Linked DNA regions of Macaca fascicularis. The protein of the gene in region 3 binds, or shares a complex with, the protein of the main gene of each other region. Links are inferred from orthologs where the notes say so. Each region holds a gene or a part of one and is shown on either strand. Other genes may lie near its edges. The genes, in order: PRPF6, SART1, USP39, PPIH, LSM7, LSM2 and LSM6.

The links.
Region 1: USP39 (region 3) and PRPF6 share a complex: the UniProt entries of both Homo sapiens proteins name them as parts of the U4/U6-U5 tri-snRNP complex. The link is inferred for Macaca fascicularis from reciprocal best matches to the Homo sapiens genes USP39 and PRPF6.
Region 2: USP39 (region 3) and SART1 share a complex: the UniProt entries of both Homo sapiens proteins name them as parts of the U4/U6-U5 tri-snRNP complex. The link is inferred for Macaca fascicularis from reciprocal best matches to the Homo sapiens genes USP39 and SART1.
Region 4: USP39 (region 3) and PPIH share a complex: the UniProt entries of both Homo sapiens proteins name them as parts of the U4/U6-U5 tri-snRNP complex. The link is inferred for Macaca fascicularis from reciprocal best matches to the Homo sapiens genes USP39 and PPIH.
Region 5: USP39 (region 3) and LSM7 share a complex: the UniProt entries of both Homo sapiens proteins name them as parts of the U4/U6-U5 tri-snRNP complex. The link is inferred for Macaca fascicularis from reciprocal best matches to the Homo sapiens genes USP39 and LSM7.
Region 6: USP39 (region 3) and LSM2 share a complex: the UniProt entries of both Homo sapiens proteins name them as parts of the U4/U6-U5 tri-snRNP complex. The link is inferred for Macaca fascicularis from reciprocal best matches to the Homo sapiens genes USP39 and LSM2.
Region 7: USP39 (region 3) and LSM6 share a complex: the UniProt entries of both Homo sapiens proteins name them as parts of the U4/U6-U5 tri-snRNP complex. The link is inferred for Macaca fascicularis from reciprocal best matches to the Homo sapiens genes USP39 and LSM6.

Annotation. Positions count from the first base shown.
Region 1 is NC_088384.1:120,121,162-120,125,177, reverse strand, and holds part of PRPF6 (pre-mRNA-processing factor 6), read right to left. Parts: intron 2,769-4,016; coding exon 2,650-2,768; intron 1-2,649. UniProt on the Homo sapiens protein: Involved in pre-mRNA splicing as component of the U4/U6-U5 tri-snRNP complex, one of the building blocks of the spliceosome.
Region 2 is NC_088388.1:8,429,563-8,433,578, forward strand, and holds part of SART1 (U4/U6.U5 tri-snRNP-associated protein 1), read right to left. Parts: intron 3,847-4,016; exon of another isoform or gene 3,806-3,846; coding exon 3,679-3,805; intron 3,556-3,678; coding exon 3,450-3,555; intron 3,193-3,449; coding exon 3,115-3,192; intron 3,000-3,114; coding exon 2,900-2,999; intron 2,811-2,899; coding exon 2,668-2,810; intron 2,537-2,667; coding exon 2,330-2,536; intron 1,632-2,329; coding exon 1,507-1,631; intron 1,420-1,506; coding exon 1,304-1,419; intron 1,211-1,303; coding exon 1,068-1,210; intron 1-1,067. UniProt on the Homo sapiens protein: Plays a role in mRNA splicing as a component of the U4/U6-U5 tri-snRNP, one of the building blocks of the spliceosome. May also bind to DNA.
Region 3 is NC_088387.1:35,963,047-35,967,062, forward strand, and holds part of USP39 (ubiquitin carboxyl-terminal hydrolase 39), read right to left. Parts: intron 2,243-4,016; coding exon 2,106-2,242; intron 370-2,105; coding exon 217-369; intron 1-216.
Region 4 is NC_088375.1:192,203,428-192,207,443, forward strand, and holds part of PPIH (peptidyl-prolyl cis-trans isomerase H), read right to left. Parts: intron 3,598-4,016; coding exon 3,505-3,597; intron 2,458-3,504; coding exon 2,370-2,457; intron 1,891-2,369; coding exon 1,850-1,890; intron 1,101-1,849; coding exon 1,032-1,100; 3' UTR 1,015-1,031; intron 1-1,014. UniProt on the Homo sapiens protein: PPIase that catalyzes the cis-trans isomerization of proline imidic peptide bonds in oligopeptides and may therefore assist protein folding. Participates in pre-mRNA splicing.
Region 5 is NC_088393.1:2,987,834-2,992,325, forward strand, and holds the start of LSM7 (U6 snRNA-associated Sm-like protein LSm7), read right to left. Parts: upstream 3,107-4,492; 5' UTR 3,075-3,106; coding exon 3,069-3,074; intron 2,986-3,068; coding exon 2,895-2,985; intron 1-2,894. Other genes in the region: SPPL2B (signal peptide peptidase-like 2B), read left to right, coding at 3,227-3,292. UniProt on the Homo sapiens protein: Plays a role in pre-mRNA splicing as component of the U4/U6-U5 tri-snRNP complex that is involved in spliceosome assembly, and as component of the precatalytic spliceosome (spliceosome B complex).
Region 6 is NC_088378.1:139,905,901-139,910,502, reverse strand, and holds the start of LSM2 (U6 snRNA-associated Sm-like protein LSm2), read right to left. Parts: upstream 2,921-4,602; 5' UTR 2,758-2,920; coding exon 2,668-2,757; intron 2,327-2,667; coding exon 2,259-2,326; intron 1-2,258. UniProt on the Homo sapiens protein: Plays a role in pre-mRNA splicing as component of the U4/U6-U5 tri-snRNP complex that is involved in spliceosome assembly, and as component of the precatalytic spliceosome (spliceosome B complex).
Region 7 is NC_088379.1:151,030,183-151,034,713, reverse strand, and holds the start of LSM6 (U6 snRNA-associated Sm-like protein LSm6), read right to left. Parts: upstream 3,207-4,531; 5' UTR 3,131-3,206; intron 1,807-3,130; 5' UTR 1,703-1,806; intron 1-1,702. UniProt on the Homo sapiens protein: Plays a role in pre-mRNA splicing as component of the U4/U6-U5 tri-snRNP complex that is involved in spliceosome assembly, and as component of the precatalytic spliceosome (spliceosome B complex).

The DNA.
Region 1 (4,016 bases), on a different chromosome or scaffold from region 3:
GGACCACAGGCGCCCGCCACCTCACCCGGCTAGTTTTTTGTATTTTTTAGTAGAGACGGGGTTTCACCGGGTTAGCCAGGATGGTCTCGATCTTCTGACCTCGTGATCCGCCCGTCTCGGCCTCCTAAAGTGCTGGGATTACAGGCTTGAGCCACCGCACCCAGCCAGAAAGGGTATTAACCCTCTTGCCTAGGCTGGTCTCACACTCCTGAGATCAAGTAGTCCTCCCGCCTCAGCCTCCCAAAGTGCTGGGATTACAGATGTGAGCCACCATGAACCACCACGCCCAGCCTGAGGTATATTCCTTCTACACCCAGTTTTCTTAGAGTTTTTATCATAAAGGAATGTTGAATTTTATCAAATGCATTTTCAGAATCAATTAAAATGATCAGGCCGGGCGCAGTGGCTCATGCCTGTAATCCCAGCACTTTGGGAGACCAAGGCAGGCGGATCACGAGGTCAGGAGATCAAGACCATCCTGGCTAACACAGTGAAACCCCGTCTCTACTTAAAATACAAAAAATTAGCCGGGCGTGGTGGCGGGCACCTGTAGTCTTAGTTACTCAGGAAGCTGAAGCAGGAGAATCACCTGAACCCGGGAGGCAGAGGTTGCAGTGAGCTGAGATTGTGCCACTGCACTCCAGTCTGGGCAACAGAGCAAGACTCCGTCTCGAAAAAAAAAAAGAAATTGTATGGTTTTTCTCCTTCATTCTGTTGATAAAACGTATAACACTGATTCATCTGCATATGTTAAACCACCCTTGCACTTGTACCCCTGGGCAAAATGCCGCTTGGTCATGATGAACAATCTTTTTTTTTTTGAGATGGAGTCTTGCTCTTGTCTCCTAGGCTAGAGTGCAATGTCGTGATCTCGGCTCACTGCAACCTCCACCTCCCAGGTTCAAGCGATTCTCTTGCCTCAGCCTCCCAAGTAGCTGGGATTACAGGCGTGCGCCACCATGCCCGGCTAATTTTTATACTTTTAGTAGAGACGGGGTTTCACGAGGTTGGTCAGACTAGTCTTGAACTCCTGACCTCAGATGACCCAAGATCCGCCCACCTCAGCCTCCCAAAGTGCTAGAATTACGGGCATAAGCCACTGTGCCCAGCCAATGAACCCTCTTTCCAATGTCTTGTTGAATATGGTTTGCTAGTATTCTGCTGAGCATTTCTGCATCAGTGTTCATCAGGGATACTGACCTAACGTTTTCTTTTTTCAGTGTGTCTTTGTCTGGTTTTGGCATCAGGGTACTACTGGTTTTGTAGAATAAGTTTGGACGTATTCCCTCCTCTATTTTTCAGAATAGTTTGAGTAGAATTGATACTAGTTCTTCTTAAAATACTTGGTAAAATTCAGCGATGACGCAATCAGATTCTGGGATTTTCTCTGCTAGGACTCTTTCTATTACAGCTCTGATCTCACTACTTATTCGTCTGTTCAGGTTTGGGATTTCTTCATGGTTCAATCTTGGTAGCTTGTATGTGTCATTTGACATCTTTAATTCATTTGCAAATTACTCAACATATAAAAGATTAATCAACAGTCAGTGAGCCCTTTTCAAAGATGGTAACCCTGATGTATCATAAAAGTAATCCACAAAATTCTACTGATTTCTGGAAAATCTTAAGAGTTCTTAAGCTCTCCACTGCAGCCCCCAGCCCCTAAGGCTGTTCCGTAACAGCCCAGGGCTTATCCAAGCATGGCTACGACACACCAAGACCCTCAGGTGGCCTAAAAGCTGAGCAGACACACACATATACTATTGCAACGTTTCTCTGACTATAAAACAATTCAAAACAGCCGGGCGCAGCGGCTCACACCTGTAATTCCAGCACTTTGGGAGGTCGAGGCGGGCAGATCACGAGGTCAGGAGATCAAGACCACCCTGGCTAACACGGTGAAACTACGTCTCTACTAAAAATACAAAAATTAGCCGGGCGTGGTGGCGGCGCCTGTAGTCCCAGCTACTCAGGAGGCTGAGGCAGGAGAATGGCGTGAACCCGGGAGACAGAGCTTGCAGTGAGCTAAGATTGCGCCACTGCACTCCAGCCTGGGTGACAAAGCAAGACTCCATCTCAAAAAAAAAAAAAAAAAAGGCCGGGCACGGTGGCTCATGCCTGTAATCCCAGCATTTTGGGAGGCCGAGGCAGGCGGATCACGAGGCTGAGACAGGAGAATGGCGTGAACCCAGAAAGCGGAGCTTGCAGTGAGCCGAGATCACACCACTGTACTCCAGCCTGGGCGACAGAGCGAGACTCCATCTCTAATTAAAAAAAAAAAATTCAAAACTTTTTTTTTTTTTTTTTTTTTTTTTTGGAAACAGGGTCTCACTATGTCAACCAGGCTGGAATGCACTGACATGATCATGGCTCACTGCAGTTTCTACCTCCTGGGCTTAAACAGTCCTTCCACCTCAGCCACCCAAGTAGCTGGGACTACAGGTGTGTACCATTTGACTAATTTTTAAATTATTTGTAGAGATGAGGTCTCGCTATGTTGCCCACACTGGTCTCAAACCCCTGGGCTCTAGCTATCGTCCTACGTTGGCCTCCCAAAGTGATAGGATTACACACGTGAGCCACTGCGCCTGGCCTCAAAACTTTTTTTAAAGTTGGATAAACATCGTGAAAGGCAACAATCTCTTTTACCGTCTTTCTTTTCTTCTTTCATCCATCCTTTTATCCAGGGCTGCATAGATGGCATCCGCTTCCTCGTCATCTTTCTCATAGGGCCCGCTTGAGAAGAGGCTCCCAGCGTAGCCATTAAACTGAGAAGCAAACAACATGTGCAGAGAGGTCAGCTTTTCCTCCATCACCATCCCCACCAGCAGAAACAGAGAAGATCTCTACTTGTGAAATACTTGCTAAATTATTTTCTCCAGCCAACGAAGCCAAATTGAGGGACAGTCTACAATATAACTGGTGACTACTCTTCAAGTGTCAAGGGCATGAAAGACAGAGGAGCCGCTCCAACTGGAAGGTACCAAGGAGACATGACAAAATGCAACGGGGGTTCCTGGACTGAGCCTAAGTCAGAAAACGGACATTCGTGGAAACACATGAAATGCAAATACGACTGACAGATTAGTTAACAGTACTGTGTCAATGTTAACTCTTTCGTTTCAATAACTGCACTGAGGTCATGTAAGATGGGGAGAAGCTTGGTGAAAGATATGCAGAAACTTTTTTTTTTTTTTGGCACTATTTTTGCAAGTTCCTGCAAATTTAAAATTATTTCAAAACTAAATTTTTTGTTTGTTTGTTTTTGAGACGGAGTCTTACTCTGTTGCCCAGGCTGGAGTGCAGTGGCACGATCTCAGCTCACTGCAAGCTCCGCCTCCCAGGTTCACACCATTCTCCTGCCTCAGCCTCCCAAGCAGCTGGGACCACAGGCGCCCGCCACCATGCCCGGCTAATTTTTGTGTATTTTTAGTAGAGACAGGATTTCACCGTGTTAGCCAGGATGGTCTCGATCTCCTGACCTGGTAATCTGCCTGCCTCGGCCTCCCAAAGTGCTGGGATTATAGGTGTGGGCCACCATGCCTGGCCTCAAAACTAAAATTATTTTTTTAAATATTCCTCAGAGGAAAGGCGTCACATGTTAGAAGACAGTTAATCGATATTCAGTCAGCTGAGGTTTTTCTGTAGATGTCTTTTTAGAGGGCAAGCACTAAAGCCAAAAAAAGCAAATACTGTCACCAATTCCACTTTAAGTTTTTATCATTAAAGACTGGCAGCCAGGCGCGGTGGCTCAGACCTGTAATCCCAACACTATGGGAGGCCGAGGTGGGCAGATCACCTGAAGTCAGGAGTTCGAGACCAGCCTGACCAACATGGAGAAACCCTGTATCTACTAAAAATACAAAATTAGCCAGCCATGGTGGCACATGCCTGTAATCCCAGCTACTCAGGAGGCTGAGGCAAGAGAAATCGCTTGAACCCGGGAGGCGGAGGTCACAATGAGCTGAGATCGCACAACTGCACTCCAGGCCGGGCGCAGTGGCTCAAGCCTGTAA
Region 2 (4,016 bases), on a different chromosome or scaffold from region 3:
GGGCAGTGCCTGGCACACTGTGCCTGTGGGGCAGCGATGACCGTGGGCTCAAGGCTCCCCCTGCATTGGCCTCCTGACCTCTCCGTCTCAGCTCACACCACCCCCTCACTCTCTGCTCTGCTCCGGCCTCCCTGGCCCTCAGGCACTCTAAGGTCTCTTCTCCTGAGATACCTGCTGGTTGATCTACCACCTAAACGCCAGCCTGTCACCTGCTGCCACCCCTAATCCCCCGCAAGGCTGGCTCTTCTGTGTGACTCAAGTCTCAGCTGAACTAGTACCTTGGAAAGGTCTTCCCCGCACTCCCCCGTCTAAGATCCCAACCCCAGCACATTATATTGGCCTACTGAGTGCCCAGCTCCTGTCACCATCAGAAATTACCGTTCCTGCGTTCACCAGGTCACTGCTGCTCCCTAAGCTCTCCCCCACACACTCTAGAAAGCCACTTCTCTGAGTCCAGGGCCCCGTGGCTGTCCTGTTCACCAATGACCTTCTCGGCCCAAGAACAATGCACTACTCACAGCAGGCATTCAACAAACATGCACAGGAAGAGAGAGGCCAGGAAAGGATCCCCTACTAAAGCAGGCATCTAAAAACTTTTGCAAAACATGACTTTTAAACAGAAAACATGACTTTAACCAGGGCTGGTCGCAGTGGCTCACACCTGTAATCTTAGCATTTTTGGAGGCCGAGGCAGGCAGATCATGAGGTCAGGAGTTGGAGACCAGCCTGGCCAACACGGTGAAACCCCGTCTCTACTAAAAATACAAAAATTAGCCGGGTGTGGTGGCGGGTGCCTGTAATCCCAGCCACTCAGGAGGCTAAGGAATGAGAATCACTTGAACCAGGGAGGCGGAGGCTGCAGTGAGCCGAGGCCACGCCATTGCACTCCAGCCTGGGCGACAGAGCAAAACACTTGTCTCAAAAAAAAACAAAACCCAGAAAACAAAAAACAAATGGAAAAGAGGCTTCAGACAGGAATGTGGCTGTTGCCTATGACACATGTGCTCGTGAGGACAGGTGACTGCTGACGCACTGGTAGCCCCAGGCCTGCCCATGCCCAGCCTCACCTTCTCGCCACTGTCTCGCAGCTGCTGCAGCTGCTGTAACTGTCGCAGCCGGCGTCCCTTCTCCAGCTGCTTCTGCAGCTCCAGCTCCGCCTCGTCCTCCTCCAGCACCTGCGGGGACCCCGGCTGTGGAGCTCCACCTTCCTCTGGGGGATACACAGGGGATGCCTGCTCAGACAATCTCCTCCAACCCAGGGCTCCTGTCCCTGCCCCCTCCCACCTCCTGGCCAGGCTCTCACCCTCATCACTGATGTCCATGTTCTCCACTCGGGTGTCATCCGACGGCAGGGGCTGAGGCACGGGCTCCTTCTCCTCCTCCACCTCAGACACTCGGCGGCGACCCCGTCCCCGCAGTCTGAGGGAAGGAGGCCTCTCTGGTGAGCACCGGCCCCCGGGACACCCCAGCCCAGCCCTCTCACCCTACCATGGTGTCCAAGCCCACCTGGAACCAAAGTCCCCATCCTGAGTCTGGTCCCCGAGAGGCAACAGGTCATCCGCCCGCACTACGACCTCCTTCTCCTTCTTGCGGATTTTCCTCACCCTCCGCTTGGTCCTTCTAAAGGCCACCTGAGGGGAAGAGGGAGGCGTGGGGCGGGGCGGGGAAAGGCAGGCCACCACAAGCCCGCGAGGATGAACACTTCTTTGGTGTTCTTCTGTGCTAGCCAGTGTCCTGAGCACTTCTCACACATGAGCAACACGTGGGGTGGTTACTATCTCCCTTCCACTGGTGATTAGGGAAACTGGGGCACAGAGAGGTTAAGTACCTTCCCCAAGGTCGCCCAGCTCCTAGGTGGGAAAGCCGGGCAGTCTGGCTCCAGAGTCCTGCTCTTACCCACTGAGCAAGACGCCTACTACACCAGCTGACTACCTCACGTTCACACAGTCACTCTGCGGACAGAATCCACGCACACCTTTCCAGTCACCCCTCACCCACACTGTCACTCATCCTCACAGCAACCTCAGGAGGTGGCTCCTATCACTGCCACTCCAGATGGGGCACCCCAGGCTCACAGTTAAATGGCTTACCCAAGGCACAAGCTGGCAGTATGGCAGAGCAGAAACACCAACTGGGGCCCATCTGGCTCAGCAGCCCTGACCCGTCAACACCTGGTGCCTCCCCAGGTTGCCATTTACTGCTTGCCCACGAGGCCAAGCGCTTTGTGAACAGAAATACTTGCCCTCTCTTCCCAGTGCCTGCGGGCAGCGCAGGAGCCCCAAGGGGAGGGAGAATCATGACCCCAAGTACAAGGCGCAAGAGGGCTCACCATCTCCTCGGGTGTGAGGTACTCAGAGGCCAGCCGGGGCCCCACCGTGCTCAGGGACTGAGCCTGCAGCCGCAGCTTGGCCCGGATCTCCTCCAACTCCCGTTCCCGCAGGCCATCGGCCATGCCCCCCTGCTCCAAGCGGAAGGAATGCGGCTGCTCCCCCTCAAGCTCTTCGTCGTACTTGGACAGGATAGAGCGAGGTTTTTGCTGCAAGGTAAGAGGTACAGGTTGGGACCCAGGGTGGCTCCTGAAAAGCCACTGAGCCACCACCTCCTCAGAGCCCCTATTCCCGACATTCTCCACCCCAGCCCCCGCCGCCCAGCCTGCTTGGGCCGTGCCTGCGCCAGGTCGTCCACACTCTCGTCCTCGGCATAAGGCAGGTAGTCGGGCTTCTTCTTCCGCAGCTCCACATTCTTCTCTGCCCGCTCCTTATCCACCAGGTTCACGTTCACCAGCACGTCCTCCTCCTCCTGCAGCACGCCTGCGGGCAGCACAGAGCAGTGGCCATTCACACTTGTCCACAACTCAGCAGAGGCTGTGCCCCGACCCAAGGCACCCAGCTCGCGTCACCTTTGTCCTTAAGGGTGAGGATCATGGTCTCCCCTTCTCGGAAGGAATCAATGGCATGCTCCACGGTGAGGCCCTGCAGGTCCCGGGCACTGTACAGGTCCTAACAGAAGAATCAGGCGAGTAAAGAACCTCCCTCCACGCGCCCAACCTTGGGATTCCAGCATCAAGGCCGCCAGTGTGCCCTGCACCACCCACCCCGGCTGCTGCAGCCTCACCTGCCGTCTCTGCCCGAACTCCTCCTCTACCAGAGTGCTGACACCAAACTCTTGGTCCATCTCCTCCAGTAACTTTGCCTATGGGACAGGGAGGGGTGACCTAGGACCTCAGGCCACTCAGCACCACCAGAAAACACTCAGGGCTCTACCAAGCGGAGTGCAAAAAGAGCAGGCCTTGCAGGAAAGTTGCTGAGAATCCAAAGCAGATGCTACCAACCACAGCCCATCCCCTCTCCGAACCCCGTCTCACCTCTCTGGGGTCGACCCCCTGCCTCAACGCCCAGTCAGGCCAGCAAAAGCACTGGGCAACCACCCCATGCTGCCCAGGTGCTCACCCTCTTCTCTGCCAGGTCTTTCTCCTTCTGCAGCTGCCGGCTCCTCTCGATCCAGGCTGCAGTGTCATCCAGCCAGGGATCATCCTCTCCTAGGGTCTTTATCTTCCTGAAGAGGGGAGAAAGTGATGCTCCAGGAGCCCAGCTCCTGCTCCCAACCCCACTCAAAAGGCAGCCAAGGATGGTGGCCTCCCCAGCCCTTCCCTTGCCTGCCCTGGCCAGGACCCCTCACCCCAGCTTTTGGTTCAGCAGGCGCTTCTCCTTGGCAGCCGCCAGCTTCTCCCGCAGCTCCTCTCGCTGTCGCAAGGCCATAGGATTGATGACATCGGCTGTCACGGGCTCCTCCTTGGTGCCCGCCTCTGGAAGGGGGGCCCAGACGTGAGGCTATGCCCGCCCATGGCTGGTGGGGAGAGGAGGGAGCCACTCACCCTGCCCCCTTCCAGCTCAGGGGGCCAGAAGGGGTCAGGACAGGAAGGAACAATCCTTCACCTCCCTGCTCCCACTTCGTCCCCACACTCCTGGCCAACCCATGCAGCACGACAGGACCCTCTGTGGCTTCCAAAGCTCCTC
Region 3 (4,016 bases):
TAGGTGGGATTACAGGCTTGCACAACCATACCTGGCTAATTTTTATAATTTTAGTAGAGACAGGGTTCCGCCATGTTGGCCAGGCTGGCTGGAACTCCTGACCTCAGGCAATCCGCCCGCCTTGGCCTCCCAAAGTGCTGGGATTACAGGGGTGAGCCACTGTGCCCAGCCTTCTGGGTGTCCTTCTCTTTCTCAGTGTTCCCGTCTTGATCTTACCTGAAGAACGGCGTTGGCATAGTCATTAGCCTTTATGTTATTCAGTCCCACAATACCCGGCAGGTAAGTGGTACCATCATATGCCCGGGACAATTTGGCTTGCTTGTCCAAGTTTGCAATTTGCTGCTTTGTGAAAGTGGGCTTCAACACATACTGCAAAGCAAAAGAAAATGCTAAGTTGTTTAAGAGCTGAGTTCACAAGAAATGTCTACAAACAACAGCAATTTCTACAAAAACAAAGAACACTTTGGCCATGAACATCCCACCACACACAGAAAAAGTCCCAATCAGTAGGTGTAAAGATTGAAGTAACACAGGGTAGATCCTCTCCCATGGCTAATCTACAAGGGGATCTCTGTGTCTAACCCAAAATCACTGAATCCCAGGTCTTTTCATAGACCTCAGATCTGGTCAACTCATGAAAACTGACTGCCAGAAACTATTAAGTTCCTAAAGGCAGTCTAAGTCTCAGATAGAACCTCCCGGGAGCAGCACATGTACCTAGCTTTGGAGCAGGAGAGTTTCCTCCATTCTGGGTGAGACTGAGGATCTCCACGAGTCCCTGGTACTGGAAGAGCAGGATCAGACTCTTCTCAGGCAGAGTTACCAGAGTCATTATGTCACAGACTGGACAGAGGTCATCCCAAACTCACTTTGAAACACTGAATTTAGCCCAGTTTCTCCCTCTATAAATACTGTCCATACTTTTTTTTTTAGACGGAGTTTCACTCTTGTTGCCCAGGCTGGAGTGCCATGGCACGATCTCGGTTCACTGCAACCTCCCACTCCCAGATTCAAGCAATTCTCCCTCCTCAGCCTCCCAAGTAGCTGGGATTACAGGCATGTGTCACCATGCCAGGGTAATTTTGTATTTTTAGTAGAAATGGGGTCTCATCATGTTGGTCAGGCTGGTCTCAAACTCCTGACCTCAAATGACCCACCTGCCTCCACCTCCCAAAGTGCTCAGATTACAGGCGTGAGCCTCCGCACCCAGCCTGTCCATAACTATTTTAATCTCAACTACTAATAATAGGCTTATAAAATTTTTACAAGTAGAAAAAGCAATATTTCAAAGACTAAATACCACCATTTCCTTAAAAATAAACAGAACATGACCAACCTGGGCAACACAGTGAGACCCCATCTCTACAAAAAATTTTAAAAATTTATCTGGCCATGATGGTAATGCCTATAGTCCTAGCTACTTGGGAGGCTGAGGTGGGAGGCTGAGGTAGGAGGATCACTTGAACCCATGAGGTCGAGGCTGCAGTGAGCTGTGATGGTGCCACCACACTCCAGCCTGGGCGACAGAGCAAGACTCCGTCTAAAAAACAAAAACAAAACAGAGCACTTGGCACCATGAATATGCCCCAAGTGCTGAAAAGGAAAATAATAATCAAAAACCCAACACTAATCAAAGCCCATGCTCAGCACAATGAGTGTCTCTTGGTACAGGCCACAAACTAGAGCCCAGAGATGAGACATCTGTGGCTGGATGCTCTGGTCCCATCATATGTTAAAAGCAGCCAGAAGCTGGTGTGCAGCTTGGTAAATATTGTCCTACACCAGGACCAATTCATATCCCTGCTTCAAAGTGTGGAAGAATAATTTCACAAAAACACTTTAAACCCCATCAGAATACACCCATATTTCTTCAGTCCTAGCCCTCAATGTTACAAGTAGAAATGACAGTTAAGTTATAGACTACAGGCTGCAATTATGAATTCTGACCTTACTCAGTTTCCCCAGTTCTTCCCAAAAGGGAAAGCAGCCTCTCGATGCCCAAAAGGACTGAGATTCTTCCCTGTCCTCAGATGGGGCAGTCCCCTGGGAACCCTGGGATGGCTCATTAAAGAATGGACCCCAAACCAACCCTCTTAGACACACACCGTGATATCCTCCAATGAGGAATCGATGATCTCATAGTTGTCTGGAAGGCAGTAAAACTTGAGGGTATGGAGGTTGAGGAAAACATGGTGGCTAAATTGGACACTGTGAATGTAGGCGTGAGACTTCAAACCTCGGCCTGTAGGGAAGGGTGAAAGGCTGTAATAGAAGGGCAGATACTAGAAGGCACAGATCAGGTTTGCTTTTCCTTTCATTATTTTCTACCGGAACATGTTAACATCCGCGAAAAACAAATATTATGTCATTCATAAAATGAATCCTCCACATGAAGTTCTCTCATAAAAAAATTAGCAAGAAAGACTAGCACATTAGTTACTTCTTTCTCTAGATGGCATAAGACATTGACTGGGGAAACAAAGTTCACTATTTTTTGCAAATATTTGTAAAATACATATGATATATAAAATATAGATAATCTCTATATATATAACTATATATTCACATACATAGTTTCCTATATATATGAAACTAGAAACATCCATGCATATGTGTGTGCATAAATACACATATACATAAATATATACATATCCTATGACAGTCCATCATCACTCAGTCCTGAATTTCCAAATGCCCATATTCCGGACAATGCTGTATCTATGTAACTTTTCTCATATTGCTACTCCTTTCTAGAATCTCTCTCCCCTAACCATTCAAACTCCTATGTCCTGCCAATTCAAGTCCCACCTCCACTCCTTCATGAACTCAACATCAACACTCCAGCTAACATTGATTTTTGCACATTTTAACTCCTACTGTACTTATTTTTACTCAGTGCCACGGTCCAGCAGTAATCTTTATGGTCTAACAGAACTCGCTCGTTGTTTCACATGTCAACCTTGACTCCTTAGAAGCTCCTAATAAGAGCAAAGAATATAGTTTTTATCTCTTTTTTTGAGACAGGGTTGCCGGGCGCGGTGGCTCACGCCTGTAATCCCAGCACTTTGGGAGGCCGAGGCGGGCGGATCACAAGGTCAGGAGATCGAGACCACGGTGAAACCCCGTCTCTACTAAAAATACAAAAAATTAGCCGGGCGCGGTTGTGGGCGCCTGTAGTCCCAGCTACTCGGGAGGCTGAGGCAGGAGAATGGCATGAACCCGGGAGGCGGAGCTTGCAGTGAGCCGAGATCGCGCCACTGCACTCCAGCCTGGGCGACAGAGCGAGACTCCGTCTCAAAAAAAAAAAAAAAAAAAAAGAGACAGGGTCTTGCTATGTTAGCCAGGTGGATCTTGAACTCTTGCCTTTAAACAATTCTCCTCCTCAGCCTTCCAAAATGCTAGGATTACACGTGTAAGCCACTGTGCCCAGTTGTTTTTACCTCATTTGAATCCTCCACTATACTATGTACATGGCATCTGCTTGGTGTGAATGAGTTGAAATGATACATTTTCAGAAAAAAAAAAAAAAAAAAAGGTATAAAAAAAGTCCTTTGAGCTAAAGGATACTTCAAAAAAAAAAAATTTGTAGCCTGGGTAACATAATAAGGCCTTGTCTCCACAAAAAAAATAAAATAAAATATTTAGCCAGATAGCAGGGTGCAATGGCTCACATCTATAATCCCAGCACTTTGGGAGGTACAGGCAGGCACACTGCTTGAGCTCAGGAGTTTCAAGACTAGCCTGGGCAACAGAGTACAATCCCATCTTTTAAAAAAAATGTGGCTGTGTGCCGTGGCTCACGCCTGTAATCCCAGCACTTTGGGAGGCCAAAAAGTGTGGATCACTTAAGGTCAGGAGTCCAAGACCAGCCTGGCCAATATGGTGAAACCCTGTCTCTACTAAAAAATACTAAAATTAGCCAGGTGTGGTGGTGCATGCCTGTAATCCCAACTACTCGGGAGGCTGAGGCAGAAGAATCGCTTGAACTTGGGAGTCAGAGGCTGCAGTGAGCCAAG
Region 4 (4,016 bases), on a different chromosome or scaffold from region 3:
AGTGTCAAGAAGTCTGCAACTTTCAAATGGGAAAGAAAAGAAGAAAGGGTAAAGGAAGGAAGATGGGAAGGAAGGATGAAAAATAGGAAGGGAAGGATGGAGGGAGGGAAGAGGAGCAGGAGGGAGGAGGAGAGGCAATGGAAATGGATGAGGAGGCAAGAAGGGAAAGAAAAAAACCAATGTCAAGGCAAAGAAATAAAACAAGAATGTTAATCACTGGTGAATCTAAGTGAAGATATATGGGTGGTCAAGGTATTCTTCTAACTTTTTTGCAGGTTTGAAATTAAAAAAAAGAAAAACATTACTATCCCTCACCTCGGATTTCCCCCTTGTACTCTTCTCACACTTGGCAGTGTCACTCATATTACTAGTGATGACCTCTGAGAATGTCTTACTTCCCATGAGCTCCTGAAAGGAGACACCTTTCAATTCTTTGCCCCGCTCTCTGCAGCGAGCATGCTGCCCAGCGCAGAGCAGGCAGTGGCAAATACGGGTAAGAAATGAGTCCATGTAGGCTGGAAGATGCAAGGCATTCACCTGTGAGGCCGGCAAATACGAAGTCAAGGCCTGGAATTGCAGTATCAGTTCTGATGAGGTGCATGACAGGCGTGTCTCCTGGCTGCTTGGCCTGGTCCCAGCAGAGAGTTACTCAGGCCTGGAGCCAGGTCTTTCTAGGGGGACTACTGAATGGAACTGTAGTCTGAAAGTGCTGTTACAAACTGCCTGAGTAGTTTTCAGATTGATACTTTGTACATTACAAAGTGATAGAAAAGTACAGTGCTCCTACAACCCTTTCTCTTTTGATTTTTACAGTGACTCTGAGAGATAGGTATTACAGTATTTCCATTTGACAGATGAGGACACATGCTCAGAGAAGGAAAGTGACCACTCCAAGGTCACACACAGAGGAACTGGGCTCAATCTCATGTCTTCAAGACTAAAGATCTTTCCACTAGACCATGCTGTCTTCTTTGAGGTCTGACTCCTAACCTAATAGCAGAAAGACACACTTACCTGATTCAGTCTTTGGACTACATCTCCCCACACTGTGAGATCACCACAGGCAGCTTGGGCTTATTGTTGGGGCCTGTGGGAACATTCTAGGAAAAAAAGCACAATGGACATTCATCCACTCAGGCACTTCCTCATTCCCTTATCAAACTTTTACTGATGCCTGCCAGCCCCTGTGCTAAGGACTCAGCACTCAGAAACTGTCCATGTCCTGGCAGACAGGTATCAAAGAGAAAATGCAAAACACTTAGAAAACATCAAACCTATGATAATATAACAAAAAGTTATGAGAGAGTTGGATAAGGGGTAGACGGGTAACTAAATTGCTGCTTAAAGAGGTCAGGGAAGGATTCACAAAAGAGGATTATTTGAACTGTGCCTAGAAGGATGAATGGGATTCCACCAGGAGGGAAGGAAAGAAGAGCATTCCAGCTACAGGAAACAGTGTGAACAAAGGCTCAGGAGCAGGAAAGAGCAAGGGGCAGAGATGTGTATGGCAGATTTAGGGAAGAGCTAGTAGCCTGATGTGACTGGAACATGAAAGAGGCAGTGGCAGGAGAAGGGGCCGTGGAGAAGTAGACAGGGACTAATCATGAAGGACCTTGAATGCAATGCTGAGGAGTAGAATTTTATCAAGTAGGCAACAGGGTCGTCAGGGGCCAAACCTCAGTGCTGACCAGACAGGCTAACTTAGGTGGTCTCTCCTCCCTTTTCCTGAAGCAATGAAGACTGGGCCTAACAAACTGGAGCTCATTCCCCCTTCTCTAGCTCCTGGACGCTAGTCAGACAGTACCAGACCAGAATGGGAGAGAAAGAGAAAAATCAAAGCAGTACTTACCTCAATCTTTCTCATCACTAGAAGTCCATCGATGATTTTTCCTGTAGGAAGAGTGTGAGCTGGACTTTATTCTTGTTTACATAGCGTTTTCCAGCTTCCAAAGCCCATTCTTAGCTATTATGTCATTAGATTCTGTTACTAACTTTAGGAAATTAAGATGCAGTAGAGGTGAAATGACTTGCTCAAGGTCATAGGTAATAAGTAGAGTTAGGGCTCACACTTATATCTGAGTGACTGCAAAGTCTCACCATATCATGCTGCCTGTATGGCATTTCTTTGGTGCTAGCTACTGGGTTTTTCCCCTGAGTGGTTCCATACTATATCAAATGGCCCTTTTGTCCTTCCCTCTAGTTCTCTAGCCAAACATGTTCCCCACCTCCCCACCATTTCTGTTTTCTCTGTTACCACCTAAGCAGTTATCCAAGTTGAGCATTCTTGGTAAGAGTCTGAGAACTAACTCCTCTGGAGGTTCCATCCGCGGTGAATGGGGCCTGGACCATGGGACATGAGTAGGACTTACCAAACACCACATGCTTCCCATCCAGCCAATCGCACTTAGAGCAGGTGATAAAGAACTGACAGCCATTTGTACTCGGACCACTATTTGCCTGATGGAAACCAAATATACCTGCAGTAAGTTTCCTTGGCCATGTTACCTGATGGGTAAGATTCCCAAAAGAGCTTGTAACCCTAATCCCTCCATGTTTTTTTCAGTAAATCTAACTTAGCACCTATTATGAGCCAGGGCCTAAGCTAGGATCCAAGGATCCAGAGATGAACAGGATATGGCTCACTGCAGACTCAAATTCCTGGGCTCAAGCAATCCTCCCACCTCAGCCTCCCTAGTAGGTGGGACTCCAGGTGTGTGTCACTATACCTGGCTAATTTTTTTTTTCTTTTTTTAGTAGAGACTTAAGTTTCACTATGTTACCCATACTGGTTTCAAACTCCTGACCTCAACCTCAAGCAATCCTCTTGCCTTGGCCTCCCAAAGTGCTGGGATTACAGGTGTGAGCCACCAGGCCCAGCTATGAATATGTCTTGAAAGCACAGCTTTTTACATTCTGAGCAGTAGGGCTGAATGCCTAGACACAAACCCTGGTTCATATTTTAGTTCCCCAGCCTGCTAGCCTGCTAGAGGGTCTTACCTACTGGTTTTCTTTTCTTTCTTTTCTTTTTTTTAAGACGGAGTTTCGCTCTTGTTGCCCAGGCTGGAGTGCAGTGGCACGATCTTGGCTCACTGCAATCTCCCCTTCTTGGGTTCAAGCGATTCTCCTACCTCAGCCTCCCAAGTAGCTGGGATTACAGGCACCCACCACCACACCTGGCTAATTTTTTGTATTTTTAGTAGAGATGGGTTTCACCATGTTGGCCAGGCTGGTCTCGAACTCCTGACCTCGGGTTATCCACCCGCCTCAGCCTCCCAAAGTGCTAGGATTACAGACGTGATACAGGCTCACACCTGTAATCCACCATGTACCTACCGGTTTTCTCAATCAAACCAGACTGAGAAAAGAGGTGGTAAAGGTGAGTCCTGGGGCAAGCAAGAGAAAGAAAGCATTTGCTTTCATCATGCCAAAACACAGCATTGGGCCTCAAGAGGGGCCCAGAAACCAGCTGGCTGTAACGCAAAACCTTGATTGGACCTCACTTACCATGGAAAGCAGGCCTGGGGCTGAGTGTCTAAGTTTAAAATTTTCATCGGCAAATGGCCCCCGGTAAATACTGGCAACTCCAGTACCATCTCCCTGAGCAGACAGAAGGGAAATATTAGTGACTTGGAGTGTTGGGTCCCTGGAAACCAGAGGAAGAACACTGTCGCACCTAAAGCCTGACATCCTTAAAGTCTACTCTTACTCTTGTTGGTCATCTTGGAAGCTGCACCTATTTGACCCCACCCTGCCATCAGAGCAAGCCTTATACAAGGTACCTACAGCCCACAAAAACTGGCTGGAGCATTTTATAGACTGGATAAAACAGGTCACAGCTGGGCCCCTAGAAAGATCAATTAAGATGCAGACAAAGTAGGGAATAGCAACAAGGTGATCACATACTCAATCGTTGCCATTCCCGAAGACTGTCATGCCTGCAGTCATATAAAAGTACCCACTTAAGTGACTACCACCCATTCCTCCAAACTCTCTAAGAGGGTGGGTGAGCTCTTGGC
Region 5 (4,492 bases), on a different chromosome or scaffold from region 3:
GAGACAGGGAGGGGATGTGTGGGTGCCGGGGAGGCGACAGGCAGTGACAGCTGATGGGGACAGGGCTTCCTCTAGGGGAGACGGAGTGCTCTGCTGGGACAGCGGTGGTGACTGCGCTGCCTGACCTGTGCTAGGTCCCTCAGTGAGTTCACGGAATACAGAAGAACAAATCCCAGCCCTGCAGCTCAGGGCTTGCGGGGAGCGGGCAAGAGAGATGCTCTGAGACCCGGGTGCAAAGGCTTTGGGGGCTGAGGCGGTTGCTGTGGCTTCTCTCTCCACGCTGCCTGCCCCACCCCCCAAGCCTCGCCGCCTTAGGTCACAACTTGGCACCTTGGGTTAGGGCTCTCTGACCCGGTGGTGACCTCTGCCATCTGATCCTGCTCCGCAGTGTCTGGTGACACTGAGAAGGATGAAGGGGGAGCTGTGTGTCCTCAGCAGAGGCCAGCCCACCCTCCCTGTCCGGGACTCCCGTCCTCTCCCCCCAGGCTCCTCCAGCCCAGGCCCAGGAGCGGTTCCGCCTCTGCGCTCACTGAGGGGCGTCCCTCAGCCACCCGCTCCCTACCCTCCTTCTTACCCCTGTCATCTTTCAGGTGCTTCCTCCAGACACCAACCCACACCCCTTAGGGTGCTGCCCTCTGCATGCCCCCCACCAATCTCAGGAAGCAGGCACCCCAGGCATTATTCTGCCCGCCTATCTTCTCCCAAGGCAGGGCTGTGAGCCTGTCCATGGCCGTTCTGCGCTGCGAACTACGACCAGAGGCGAAAGTGGCCCACCGCTCATCTCTGTATGCCAAAGTTTCACTGGCCCACCAGCACACTCGCCCGCTCAGGCACTGACCAGGGCGGCTCTCCTGCTCTGCGGGCATAGCTCACTGGTTGTGACAAGAGACCATCTGGGCTGCAAAGCTGAAGATATTTGCTGTCTGGCCTTCTACAGAGAAGGTCTGCCCACCTGCATACAGGCTTTAGCTCCTACCTCCACGGCTCCCTCTCTCTGCGCTCAAGTCCCTCCCCTGCAAAATGAAACCTGTCACCTATGAGATGGGGTCAGACGCAACGGTTCAGGTCCTTGGCACCAGCCTGACCAGTGAGCCAGCCCTCCTCACAGGGACAGATGTGAGCACTGAGGTAGGTAGGTCTCTAACCAAGGTTCCCCTCCCCGGGGTGTGGGCTCGGGCCTGTGACTCTGAGGGGACATGACGTCACTCCTGCACTTAGGTTATGCAGCTGTTTAAGCCCCTGAACCAGCTGACTTTGAGCCAATCTAGAGGGAAACACCCTGGGTGAGCCTGACCATATCAGGTGAGTCCTTCAGGGAGCAAACCCTTTCTCTGCTGTGTGTGTGCGTGTGTGTGATTTATTTATTTTTAGACGGAGTCTCGCTCTGTCTCCCAGACTGGAGTGCAGTGGCGCGATCTCAGCTCACTGCAACCTCTGCCTCCTGGGTTCAAGAGATTCTCCTGCCTCAGCCTCCTGAGTTGTTGGGATTACAGGTGTGCACCACCACGCCCAGCTAATTTTTTTGTATTTTTCGTAGAGATGGGGTTTCACGAAACCCCATGTTGGTCAGGCTGGTCTCGATCTCCTGATCATATGATCCGCCTGCCTCAGCCTCCCAAAGTGCTGGGGTTACAGGCGTGAGTCCCTGCGTCCCGCCAAGAGCTGCAGCATGCATCACCAGCCCACTGCCCATGCGAATGCTTCCTGCCCTCTGAGAGCTCGCCCTGTCTTCACTAGATTCCATGGAAGAGTTGCAGGCAGAGGCAAGCATCAGGTTAACATGCACGAAACCGCAAACGGTGACAGGTGCTACCAGGATCCTAGAACGATGGGGGGCCTGACGCCAGGGTCAGGGAGGGCTTCCCAGAGCAAGCACCTGTGGAACTTGTGCTTCTGCCGCCCTTTGCAGTCATAATCAGAAGTATGGATTCGGATTTTACTCCAAAACAACCGGGAGCCTCAGAGGTTTTCAGCAGGGAGCAAGAAGCCTCCATTTCTTTTTCATTAGGTGCCTCTGGCCGCTGAGTGGAGACTGACCTTAGTAGCTGTGATTCCCAATCACAGCTTGGGGGTCGGGGGGCGATCCTATCCCCAGAGAACACTAAGCAATGTCTGAGGCTATTTAGGTTGTCACAACTTGGTGGAGGCCAGGGATGCTGCTCAGCACCCTGCAGTGCCCCAGGACGGCCCCACTCCAGAGAATCCGGCCCCAAATGTGTCCACACTGCTGTGCGGGAAAGACCTTGACTTAGAGGGAGGAAGAGGAGAAGCCGGGAGATCTGTGGGGATCTGGGGCAGTCCTTGGACACACAGGACTGCTCTGGAGGCCAAGCCGGAAATCCCAATACCGGCTGCGCCACTGTGACTTTGGATTACGTTTGTTTCCCGCTCCTTGCCCCAGTTTCCCCGCCTGCAACATGGCCATACCAGTTCCTACCTCCCGGCGTAATTCGGAAGCCTGCACAAGGTAGTCGGCGTCAAGCGTGTAAAGAGGCGCCTCTGCGGCGGCTCACGCCTGTCATCCCAGCACTTTGGGAGGCCGAGACGGGCGAATCACTTGAGGTCAGAAGCTTGAGACCAGCCTGGCCAACATGGTGAAACCCCGTCTCTACTAGAAATACAAAAATTAGCCAGGAGTGGTGGCGCCTGTAGCCCCAGCCACGCAGGAGGCTGAGGCAGGAGAATCGCTTGAACCCGGGAGGCGGAGGTTGCAGTGAGCTGAGATCGCACCACTTGCACTCCAGACTGGGCGACGGAGCGAGACTGCGTCTCAAAATAAATACATAAATAAAAATAAATAAAAGAGGCGCCTCTGCATGCATCCTCATCACCTCTGTTGCTGACTTTATTTTAAAATTTTAAAGGGGGGGTGCCAACGGCGGGAGCCGCCTCACCTTCGCGTCCTCCCTGAAACTTCACCCGGATCGTCTTGTCGATGTACTTGGACAAGTCCAAGATGCTCTCCTTTTTCTTCTTCTCCTTATCCTGCGGGGAAAGCAGAGCGCATGAGGCCTGGAGCGCGGCCCGAGCCCCACGCCCCCCGGCTCCGGATTCTGCCGCGCGCTCACCGCCATCTTGTCGCGCCGTGAGGCTCTTCGCAGACACCGCCCCGTGCCCTGTGACCTCTCCCCTCCCCCCCACGCGCATGCGCGGCGCATGCGTGGCCCGGGGTCTCGGGGCGTTGCTGGGAAACATCTGCCGACGGTTGCGGCGGGCACCGGCCGAGATGGCGGCGGTGGCGGCGGCTGCGCTGGCGCGGCTTGTGGCGGCCTTTCTGCTCCTCGCGGCCCAGGTGAGCGCGGCACCGGTCCCGACGGCACCGCAGGCTGCGGCCCTTCGGCCTCTCGGCCCCGAGGCTACGCGCAGGAACGACCCCTCTTGGCCCGTCTTGGGGGTCCAGCCTCGGGGATCCGCGGTCCCCTCGTTGTCGGCCGGCGGTGCCGGGGCCCGGCCGTGACCTTGCGGGGCTGTCCCCGGCTTCTCTCCCTTCCCCGCCTCGGAGGCCCTCCGCCGCTGCAGCGCCCCTCACTTCCCACCGGGCCTGAAGTTTGTGCCCCCTCCATCTCCCTGTTCTGCTTGTCCGTTTCGGGGTCTCCAGCCGCCGCGGGGGACGCCTCTCTCCCGCTCTGTGGCCTTGGGCAGGCGGCCGCCCACCCCGCTCCGAGCCTCAGTTTCCCTTTAGGCGGAATGGCCCGGTGCTAAGCTAACCTCACCCTAGGGGGTGCGGTGGGGGAACCCAGAGGCGTCCCGCGTGTCCCCCAGTGACTGGCCAGCATCCTGGAGCGGCCAAGAGCCCAGCCCTGCACTGGGGTCGTATTCCCGCTCCATCTTTTACTCCGTGACCTTGGACGAGGGAATTCCCTGCTTTGAGCGTCAGTTGCTCGTCTGGAGAAGGGGGGTCGACTATGGTGTGGATTCTGGAGATGCTACCCAGGGTGACCAGCGCCTAGGGACAGCACGCCTTCCTTATATTCATTGTGTATCCTTTGATGTAGAGTGTCAGGTTCTAGCGGGGACAGTCTACGAGATGGCACTGTCGTAACTGCATCTTTTATTTTCTTAATTCCAAATCTTACCTCTTACCTGAGTTTGGTGGCTCAGGGAATGGAACCCGGAGCAGCCTCACAAATGCGGCCCTTAACCTTCACTCCTCTCTCAGAGTTCTCTTAAGGCGTCGCTGCCACTGGGCTCCTTCTTAGTCTCCACTCTTCCAGCCCCACCGCCATCCCCCTGCTGTGGCTGCCTTTGTCCCCCACATCCCTAGTCCATCCTCGACACAGCAGGAGTGACCCTTTCAAAGTATGTCAGTCCATGTCGCATCTGGATGAACGTGCCGTCCAGTTGTGACCTGGCGCCAGGGAAGCCTGCAGCTCATTGCAGGAGCTTCGTTGTCTAGTCTTTTCTCTTACCCTGAAATGCCCGTGGTCTCTGCAAGGCTGGAGGGCCCCCTCAGAAGCTTTCTGCGAACCGCACCTCCACCCCCAGCTGCCCT
Region 6 (4,602 bases), on a different chromosome or scaffold from region 3:
CGAGGCAGGCGGATCACAAGGTCAGGAGATCGAGACCATCCTGGCTAACACGGTGAAACCCCGTCTCTACTAAAAATACAAAAATTAGCCAGGTGTGGTGGCAGGCGCCTATAGTTCCAGCTGCTGGGGAGGCTGAGGCAGGAGAATGGCATGAACCCGGGAGGCAGAGCTTACAGTGAGCAGAGATCACACCACTGCATTCCAGCCTGGGCGACAGAGCGAGACTATCTCAAAAAAAAAAAAAGAAAAAAGAAAAAGAAAAAAGCTGGACATAATCATATTTCTGTTCTGTATCACTTACTAGTTTTGTAGACTTGAACAAGTGGTATAGCTGATCTAAGCCTCAGTTTCCTCATATGTATAACAGCAATAGTACATATTACTAAGGAGTGTTTGAGAAATCAATCAATAAATGTATTCAGAATAGTGCTTAGTCAATAGGTCTTCAGATATTATTTTTCTTTCCTTAAGCACCTATCATACAACTGGCCTATACTAGGTATTAGATACACAGTAGCATATCTAATACGTAGGTTTCACCATGTTGGCCAGGCTGGTCTCAATCTCTTGACCTTGTGATCCACCCACCTCAGCCTCCCAAAGTGCTGGGATTACAGGCATGAGCCACCATGCCCAGCCTATGGCCTGTTCTGTTTTTTTGTTTATTTTTTTGAGATGGAGTCTCGCTCTGGTCGCCCAGGCTGGAGTGCAGTGGTGCCATCTTGGCTCACTGCAAGCTCCACCTCCTGGGTTCATGCCATTCTCCTGCCTCAGCCTCCCAAGTAGCTGGAACTACAGGCGCCCGCCACCACACCAGGCTAATTTTTTGTATTTTTAGTAGAGACGGGGTTTCACCATGTTAGGCAGGATGGTCTCAATCTCCTGACCTCGTGATCCGCCCATCTCGGCCTCCGAAAGTGCTGGGATTACAGGCGTGAGCCACTGCGCCTGGCCTGGCCTGTTCTTTTTTGAGACAGTCTTCCTCTGTCACCCAGGCTGGAGTAAAGTGGTACAATCATGGCTCACTGCAGCCTCGACCTCCTGGGTTCAAGTGATCCTCCCACCTCAGTCTCCCGAATAGCTGGGACTACAGGCATGTAAACCACATCTGGCTAATCTTTTATAGAAATGGTTCTATGTTGCCCAGGCTAGTCTCGACATCCTGGACTCAAGTGATCCTCCTGCCTCAGCCTCCCAAAGTGCTGAGATTACAGGTGTGAGCCACCATGGCCAGCCTAGTACTTACTCTTTATTTATTTTTTTTGAGACAGAGTCTCACTCTGTCACCCAGGCTGGAGTGCAGTGGCGTAATCTCAGCTCACTGCAACCTCTGCCACCCAGGTTCAAGCGATTTTCCTGCCTCAGCCTCCCAAGTAGCTGGGATTACAGGCACCTGCCACCATGCCTGGCTAATTTTTGTATTTTTAGTAGAGACGGGGTTTCACCATCTTGGCCAGACTGGTCTTGAACTCCTGACCTCGTGATTCACCCACCTCGGCCTCCCAAAGTGCTGGGATTACAGGCATGAGCCACACGTCCAGCCCATGAGCCACCACACCTGACCAGTATTTACTCTTTAAACTGTATATTGCTTTGTATTGTTTTCCAATACACAATACAATCCCCAAGCTTATCTGTAAATTTAAGGCACAAGGCATTTATTTATTGTTAAATTTTAAAATTTGTCTTAGAGATGGGGTCTTGCTCTATTGCCCTGGCTAGAGTGCAATGGAGTAATCACTGCTCACTGCAGCCTCAAACTCCTGGGCTCAAGCAATCCTCCCTCCTCAGTCTCCCAAAGTGCTGGGATTACAGGCGTGAGCCACTGCACCCCACCCATTTATTTCTTTTGTTTGTTTGAGACAGAGCCTCGCTCTGTCACCCAGGCTGGAGTGCAGTGGCGTGATCTGGGCTCACTGCAAGCTCTGCCTCCCAGGTTCACGCCATTCTCCTGCCTCAGCCTCCAAAGTAGCTGGGACTACAGGCGCCTGCCACCATGCCTGGCTAATTTTTTGTATTTTTAGTAGAGACAGGGTTTCACCGTGTTAGCCAGGATGGTCTTGATCTCCTGACCTCGTGATCCGCCCACCTCAGCCTCCCAAAGTGCTGAGATTACAGGCGTGAGCCACCGCACCCGGCCATTTATTTCTTCTGTACATATTCCACCTCACCCAGCCCTCAAATATTTCTCAAATTAAAGAGGTTCCAGGGCCCTGGGCACACCCACCCCCAACAGACTTGTTGGAACAGGTACCTACCTCAGGTCATTCTTGAGTTCCACGACCACATCCTTGCCCACAAGGGACTTGAAAAAAGAATAGAAGAGCTATTGGGAGAGAGGGGGAAAACCATCATGTGGGAAGGAACATGGTAGGGAGGAGTGTCCCTTGACAGTATTACCAAATACCGGTATTGTGAACCCCATTGCATCCCTAACAGTTCTCAAAATTTCACAGGAAAGAATAATTGGTTGAGAGGTGAAAGGCTGGAGCCCAAATTATTCTGCACACTGCATTGAGCCCATCACTTAAAGTCCCAGAGAGGCTCTGCCCTGCATACCTCGGCCTCCCCAGTGTGCTCTCTCAATCGACCACCTTTCTCGGGTACCTGCCCACTCCTTTCAATGAATTACAGAAAACATCCCACCCGCACCCTGCCGAAGCTTGCCTGGCAGAGAAGTGCTCTAAGGTCTAACTTTTCCGTCTCCCGCTGTCCCCACTGAATCTCTCTCAGGGTTGGGGTTTTTTTCCTCATCATGGAAAAAAAAATCCCATTTGCTCTCAGGTGTCTCCTCAACGAACTTGAGGAACAGGACTAACGATGAAGATAAAAACTCCGGACCTAACTCCAGCCTAGGGGGACAAAGGCCAGACCCCCCTGCCCCAACCGTCCGAGATCCCCGAGGGCGACCCCTTTTGACGTCACGGTACCCACCATGGTGCTGGCGCAGCGGGCAGCGGGCCGGAGCGAGAAAAGAGCCGGATGCTGAGACCAGGTCTGGGAGAACCGAAGCGCGAGCCCGCGCGTGGGGCGAGGCGGGACCGCGCAGGCGCAGCGGGAAGGGACGCAGAACCCTCCAAGCGCTGAAGGGTAAAGCGCGGCCGACTTGCGGCTGGGGAGCGCAAGCTGGGTAAAACCGAGGGGAGGAGGAAGCCGGGAAAGGGGCGGGGTTTCCTTCGTTCCGACTTCTTCCAGGGCCGGCCGGCTCCCATTGCGCAGGCGCGGACCCTAGCCTGGGCTGCTAGGCGGGTGGAGGCACTCGGCGTCTGAGCTCAAAAGGTTTTGTTTTCCATAACCCTGCCGTCCACAGCGTGATGTGTTCGTGCCCTCTACACACATCCTATCGAGAATTGTGGGGAGTTTGTGAAGATTATGAAGTGTGCACTTTTCTATATTTGTTAAAGTAAAAACATAAAATTCAAAAAATAAAATTAAAAAATGTTTTTAATCTTAAATTCAGCTGATAAAAAAAAAAAAGGCCGAGGGCGGTGGCTCACGCCTTCAATCCCAGCACTCTGAGAGGCCAAGGTGGATGGATTGTGTGAGGTCAGGAGTTCGAGACCAGGCTAGCCAACATGGTGAAGTCCCGTCTTCACTAAAAATACAAAAAAAATTAGCCAGGCGTGGTCGCGGGCGCCTGTAATCCCAGCTACTCGGGAGGCTGAGGAAGGAGAATTGCGTGAACCCGGGAGGTGGAGGTTGCAGGGAGCCAAGATGATGCCACTGCACTGCAGCCTGGGCGACAGAGCGAGACTCGTCTCAAAAAAAAAAAAAAAATTGGCCGGGCGCGGTGGCTCACGCCTGTAATCCCAGCACTTTGGGAGGCCGAGACGGGCGGATCACGAGGTCAGGAGATCGAGACCATCCTGGCTAACACGGTGAAACCCCGTCTCTACTAAAAAATACAAAAAAATAGCCGGGCGAGGTGGCGGGTGCCTGTAGTCCCAGCTACTCGGGAGGCTGAGGCAGGAGAATGGCGTGAACCCGGGAGGCGGAGCTTGCAGTGAGCTGAGATCCCGCCACCGCACTCCAGCCTGGGTGACAGAGAGAGACTCCGTCTTTAAAAAAAAAAAAAAAAAAAAAAATTGACCGGGCGCAGTGGCTGACGCCTATAATCCCGCACTTTGGGAGGCCAAGGCAAATGGATCACCTGAGGTCAGGAGTTCTAGACCAGCCTGGCCAACATGGCGAAATCCTGTCTCTACTAAAAACCCAAAAATTAGCCAGGTGTGGTGGCACGCGCCTGTAAACCCGGGAGGTATAAGTTGCAGTGAGTGGAGATCGTGCCATTGTACTCCAGCCTGGGCAACAACAGTGAAACTCTTGTCTCAAAACAACAACAACAACAAAATGTTGAGGCTTGTAAATCCCAGCATTTTGGGAGGCTGAGGCAGGAGGATCATTTGAACCCAAGAGTTACAGTGAGCTACGATCTCCCCACTGCATTCCAGCCTGGGCAAGACTCTGTCTATAAAAAAGAAAATTATAAAAAACAAAAAAATGTTGAGGAGTCCCAGAGATAAGGAGCTGGAGCACAAATTTTGGTTTTATCAAAGGTTACCAATAAATATATTTCTCCAAAGGAGCCAACCTCAATCTCCA
Region 7 (4,531 bases), on a different chromosome or scaffold from region 3:
CAGCGTTAGATTCATAAGCAATTTACAGAGAAACCGTGTGAGGTGGAAAGCAAAGCCAAGACTGACCCCAAACCCCAAGCGCTTTCACAGGTACAGCTGCCTTCTGAATATGTTAAGATTCTCTGGTTAAATCTTGGGGAATCGCAATAGAGGCAGCGAGAAATCCAGTCGGAGAGTAGCAGCACTGGGGAAAAAAATACCTAACATGACAAAGTGCTGTAAATTAGCCTCAAAGAAATACAACGGACAAACGCAAAGAAAACTATCTCATGTGATTTGGGTTATGCCACTGGGCAGAAGACATGAAAATCCTTATTACTTGGCAATGTTTACCTGTAAGTTTTTACCTACTCCTAGCATATTTACAGTTTAGGGTGAAAAAAATTTGAAAAGCAAAAACTTGCAAGGAAACATTACAATCCAAGTAACTGCAGCACTAGACTAACAGATCAGTGTCTGAGGAGGCGATCAGACACGGAGAAGAACAGCTCTCCAAGTCCTCCCTTCTGACACAGTGGAGTGCCTCGCTGTCTTGTGAAGGCTTCATACCAATCCCTCCTTCCTGAGCAGCAGGCGCTACTTCTCTCCCTCTCTCCCAAAGGCGAAGTGAGTCCACTCAGCACCTCTTTCAACTCTCGGTCATGGTCCTTATCAGGCTGCTTTGTAATTTTTCCATTTGCTGACAGGTCTCCCATGGTGAGTTTTAAGCTCCTTGGGGACAGGGGAAATATCCTACTCACTTGGTATCCCTGGTACCTAAGCACACTGCCCAAGTCTGTGGAAGAGACATTCAAGGCCAGTGCCAAGCAAAATCCCTGTCCAGCCCCCACCAACCCAAACTATGGATACAGTGACTAGTAGGATCATGCACGTACTTCAACAAATACTAACCAAGTAATCTCTATTAGGACCACCAAAGACGGAGAAAACAACCCTTTCTGTCATTCAAGAACCAGCTGTTTCCAAATCTAGAGATGCTTGTTAAAATGCAGATTCCTGAAGTCTACTCAGGTAAAAGCACTGTATTTTACATTTTATGAAGTTCTCCAGATAATTTATTTAAGCAAATGGTTCTCAACTAGGGGCAGTTTCCCCAACCCCACCCCACCCTGCTCAGGGACATTTGGAAGTATCTGGGGACACTGAACTGTCAAGACTGAGGAAGGTGGTGCTACTGCTATACTAGTGGGTAGAGACCAGGGATGTTGCTAAACATTTTACAACAGGACCGCCCTCCACAACAAAGGACTGTCCAGCCCAAAATGTCAATGGAAGCTGAGAATCTCCGCTATAAGCCCTAAAAAAAAAAACCACCAACAACGTTGTTCTTTGGTTTTAAAGTGAGGAGTTTTAAAGAAATCTCCAAAGTACAGCAAATGATAACCAAAAGCTACATTCTAACCAAATGATGGAGTGTAGATTATAATTAATCAGGGATGTTTTATTCTAACATAAAGGGAACCTGAAAACAACTGTCAAAATCTTGAAGGGGTTGCCATTCTAAATAATGGATTTCTAGTCTTGGCCATGAAAATAATCACTTTCCAATTTCTCAGTGTTACAGGTCCCTCCGATCATTAATCTGTTAGTACACTTTTAAAAGGAGAGAATAATCCAGGTGATGTAAACAAATTTTTAAATTCTAATATCTACTATGCCAGAGTTCAGTGAGAGACTGCCTGATGCAGCACAGGGTACTCACTTGGGAGGCAGGAAACCTGAGTTCTAATCCCAGCTCTGCTACTTAATTAGCTGTGTGACTTGGATAACTCATCATTTCACTTCTCATGGCCCCAGGTTCCTCATCTGCAAAATAAGGGAGTTATGCCAGATGACCACTTAAGTCTCTTCCTGCCCTAACATTCAGGTAGTAACGCATTAACTCCAGTGACACACACACACACACACACACACACCCACAAACATAAGCCTCTCAAGATTTCTGTACAATATTCAAGCAAGTAAAATTGCCAAACACCTGAAAAACTTTTTTGGAAAACACTGCAGCAATGTGTACGAAGGCCTAAAAAAGGCCTTACAGATGAAAGCATCTAATCTGATAATTTCACTTCTGAGAATCTAGTCCAAGGAAATAATCTAAAAAATAGGGGGGAAAAGGTTTATCAAAGTATTATCTGGGGTGCTAAGAGATTCAAAAATTCAAAAACAATCTATAATATCCCACAATCGGGAAATGACTGAATAATTTATGGGACCTACATTGCGATCCACAATGAGGGACAGTCAATCAAAAGAAGATACAAAACTAGAATAATATTTAGGAAGAGTTTTTAAATGGAAGTGGTAAACTATACTGTTAAGTGATTAAACATGTACACTCTTAGCTCAAGTAGAAGCTAGCATACACAGGAGAAAAAGATTGTAGGTGAAAGGGTTGTGAATACTATTTCTTCACTAAAGTCTTCCATGTTTGCAATTTTCTACAATAGTCACATATTACTAAGAGCAGTGGGGTAGGGTAATCCGCTTCATCCTAATGCTACACATCTTAAAAACGCCTGCTATGCACGCGCGCGGACACGCGAACGCACAGAAAACCTCGGGCGATAGGACTTAAGACCATACAATTGGGTTCCTAGGCCTGACAACTCAGTAAGACAGGCGAGTCGAGTCCTTAATTCCTGTGGTCAGGCGCAGCCACCCCGATGTAGGGAAGGGTTCGCAATTCCCTGAAGCCCTGGAAGACTGGCGAAGCCTAGGCCTGGGTTCGGGATCCGCTTTCCCGCCGAATCCTGGGATTAGCCTCGGGGCTCCCTGGGGAACTTCAACAACCTGAACTGGTCTCGGACGCCAACTCGGTGGGAGCCGGGACGGTGCCGCTACTCTCTGCGCAGTCTAAGCACCTCGCTGAGGGCGGTCCCGGCGCCCACCATCAGACCTCTCCGGCCATTCCGTGCGCGGAGAGCTTGGACGCGGCATTTCGCGGGAAGCTGCCACTCAGCGGTCCCTTCCCGGAGCCCCAGCCCGTTCCCCTCAGGCCCTTTCCGGGGCTGCCTCGCCCGGCCTAGGGCAGCTGCAGCCGCCGCTCCACAGCGCGACTGAACACTGGGGCGTCGAACCCGGGGCTACGCCCGGCCCCGTCATCGGCCCGCGCAGCCGTGCGGCTCACCTCGCGGGCGGGATCCAGAACCCTCACTCCAGGCGCCCCACGAGTCCGGCCTCCGCGGATGATCGCAGCCAAAAGCGAAACCGCCGAGGCAGCGGCACTTTTCTGCCTCGGCCAATCACTGCTCTTCTCTGCTACGGCAGCCCGCTGGGGCCGAAAAGCCTGTCAGCGCCGAAGCGCGCAAATCCGAGAATCCTGTTTTGTCTAGTAGCAAAATTGGTGCACTGGAGTTCCTCTGACAGAAATCTGAATACAAAACAAATATAATATAAAACAAAAACAAAAATCCAGGAAACTAGAAGTGATCTTTTGTCCAGGATTTATTTGCAGAAGTGTAAAAAATAACTTGAAGTCATAGGAAACTGGAATTTACTGTTTAAGTAACGGCACTGTGTACCCAGAAACGTCCTTGAATAGTTTAAAGCAAATAAATAAATAAAACACCTCAAGTCTTTAAATCTACCTCTGGATATTGATTAAATGTGTGAAGACTTAAGCCATTTTAGCAAGAGACTGTTTCCATGGCAATGTTGATTAAAAAATAATTAAAATCACTCAAGTAACTCCGAATTATAATGACATTAATTGTGTTACATTAAAAACTTGTTCCAATTGGAAATGGTGTGCAGACATTATTTAAGTGCTACTATGGGAACTTGGTTTGGAATTTTGCATGAATTCTCAACACTTTCTATTAATGGGATTGGAAGGGGAAAAAAAGAGAACTGTTACCCCAAGACTTGATTCCTTTACTCTCATCAGCTGAAAACTTACTTTAATTTTATTTATGGTTTGTAACGCTATACACAAAGCAATAAGATCTTCCAACACAGATCCTTAACCCCATTAGGTGTTATAAAATCTAAGATGCAGAATTTTTTTCTGAGATAAAGAATTCCTCCCTTGTAACCTTCTTTTGGCTAAAGGCAGAAGAAATGAACTTTTGATTGATATCAGGGACAGAAAACAAGTGGATGTGATTTGGTAAAGAATAGAGACTTCCTTATATCCTTCTATAAAAGCTCAGTTTGGGTAAAGACCAAACAGTTACTGATTTATTGAGAGGACTGTATTTGAAGTTCTTGCAATATAAAATATAATATAAATAAAAATTTTAAGAAAAGGACTGTTTAAATCAAATAATTACTTGCAAAGTACAAACATAACAGGATAAAAAGGCCTGTTCCTAAAAACTTTCTTTGCAAGACATCAAATTGCACATTCCTTACTGGTTGTTTAAATTATTAAAAAAAATAAAATAAAATTTTGATTAAAACTTCTTTCCCTTTCCTACAGAGCCCTAATTGAGCTGTTAACACTAGCGTGGTGGGTAGGGAGCCATGAGGAGTTTTAAGGGCCTAGTTCATCTGCAGAGCAGCTGCAGCCTTCTCCAAGGGCAGTAGC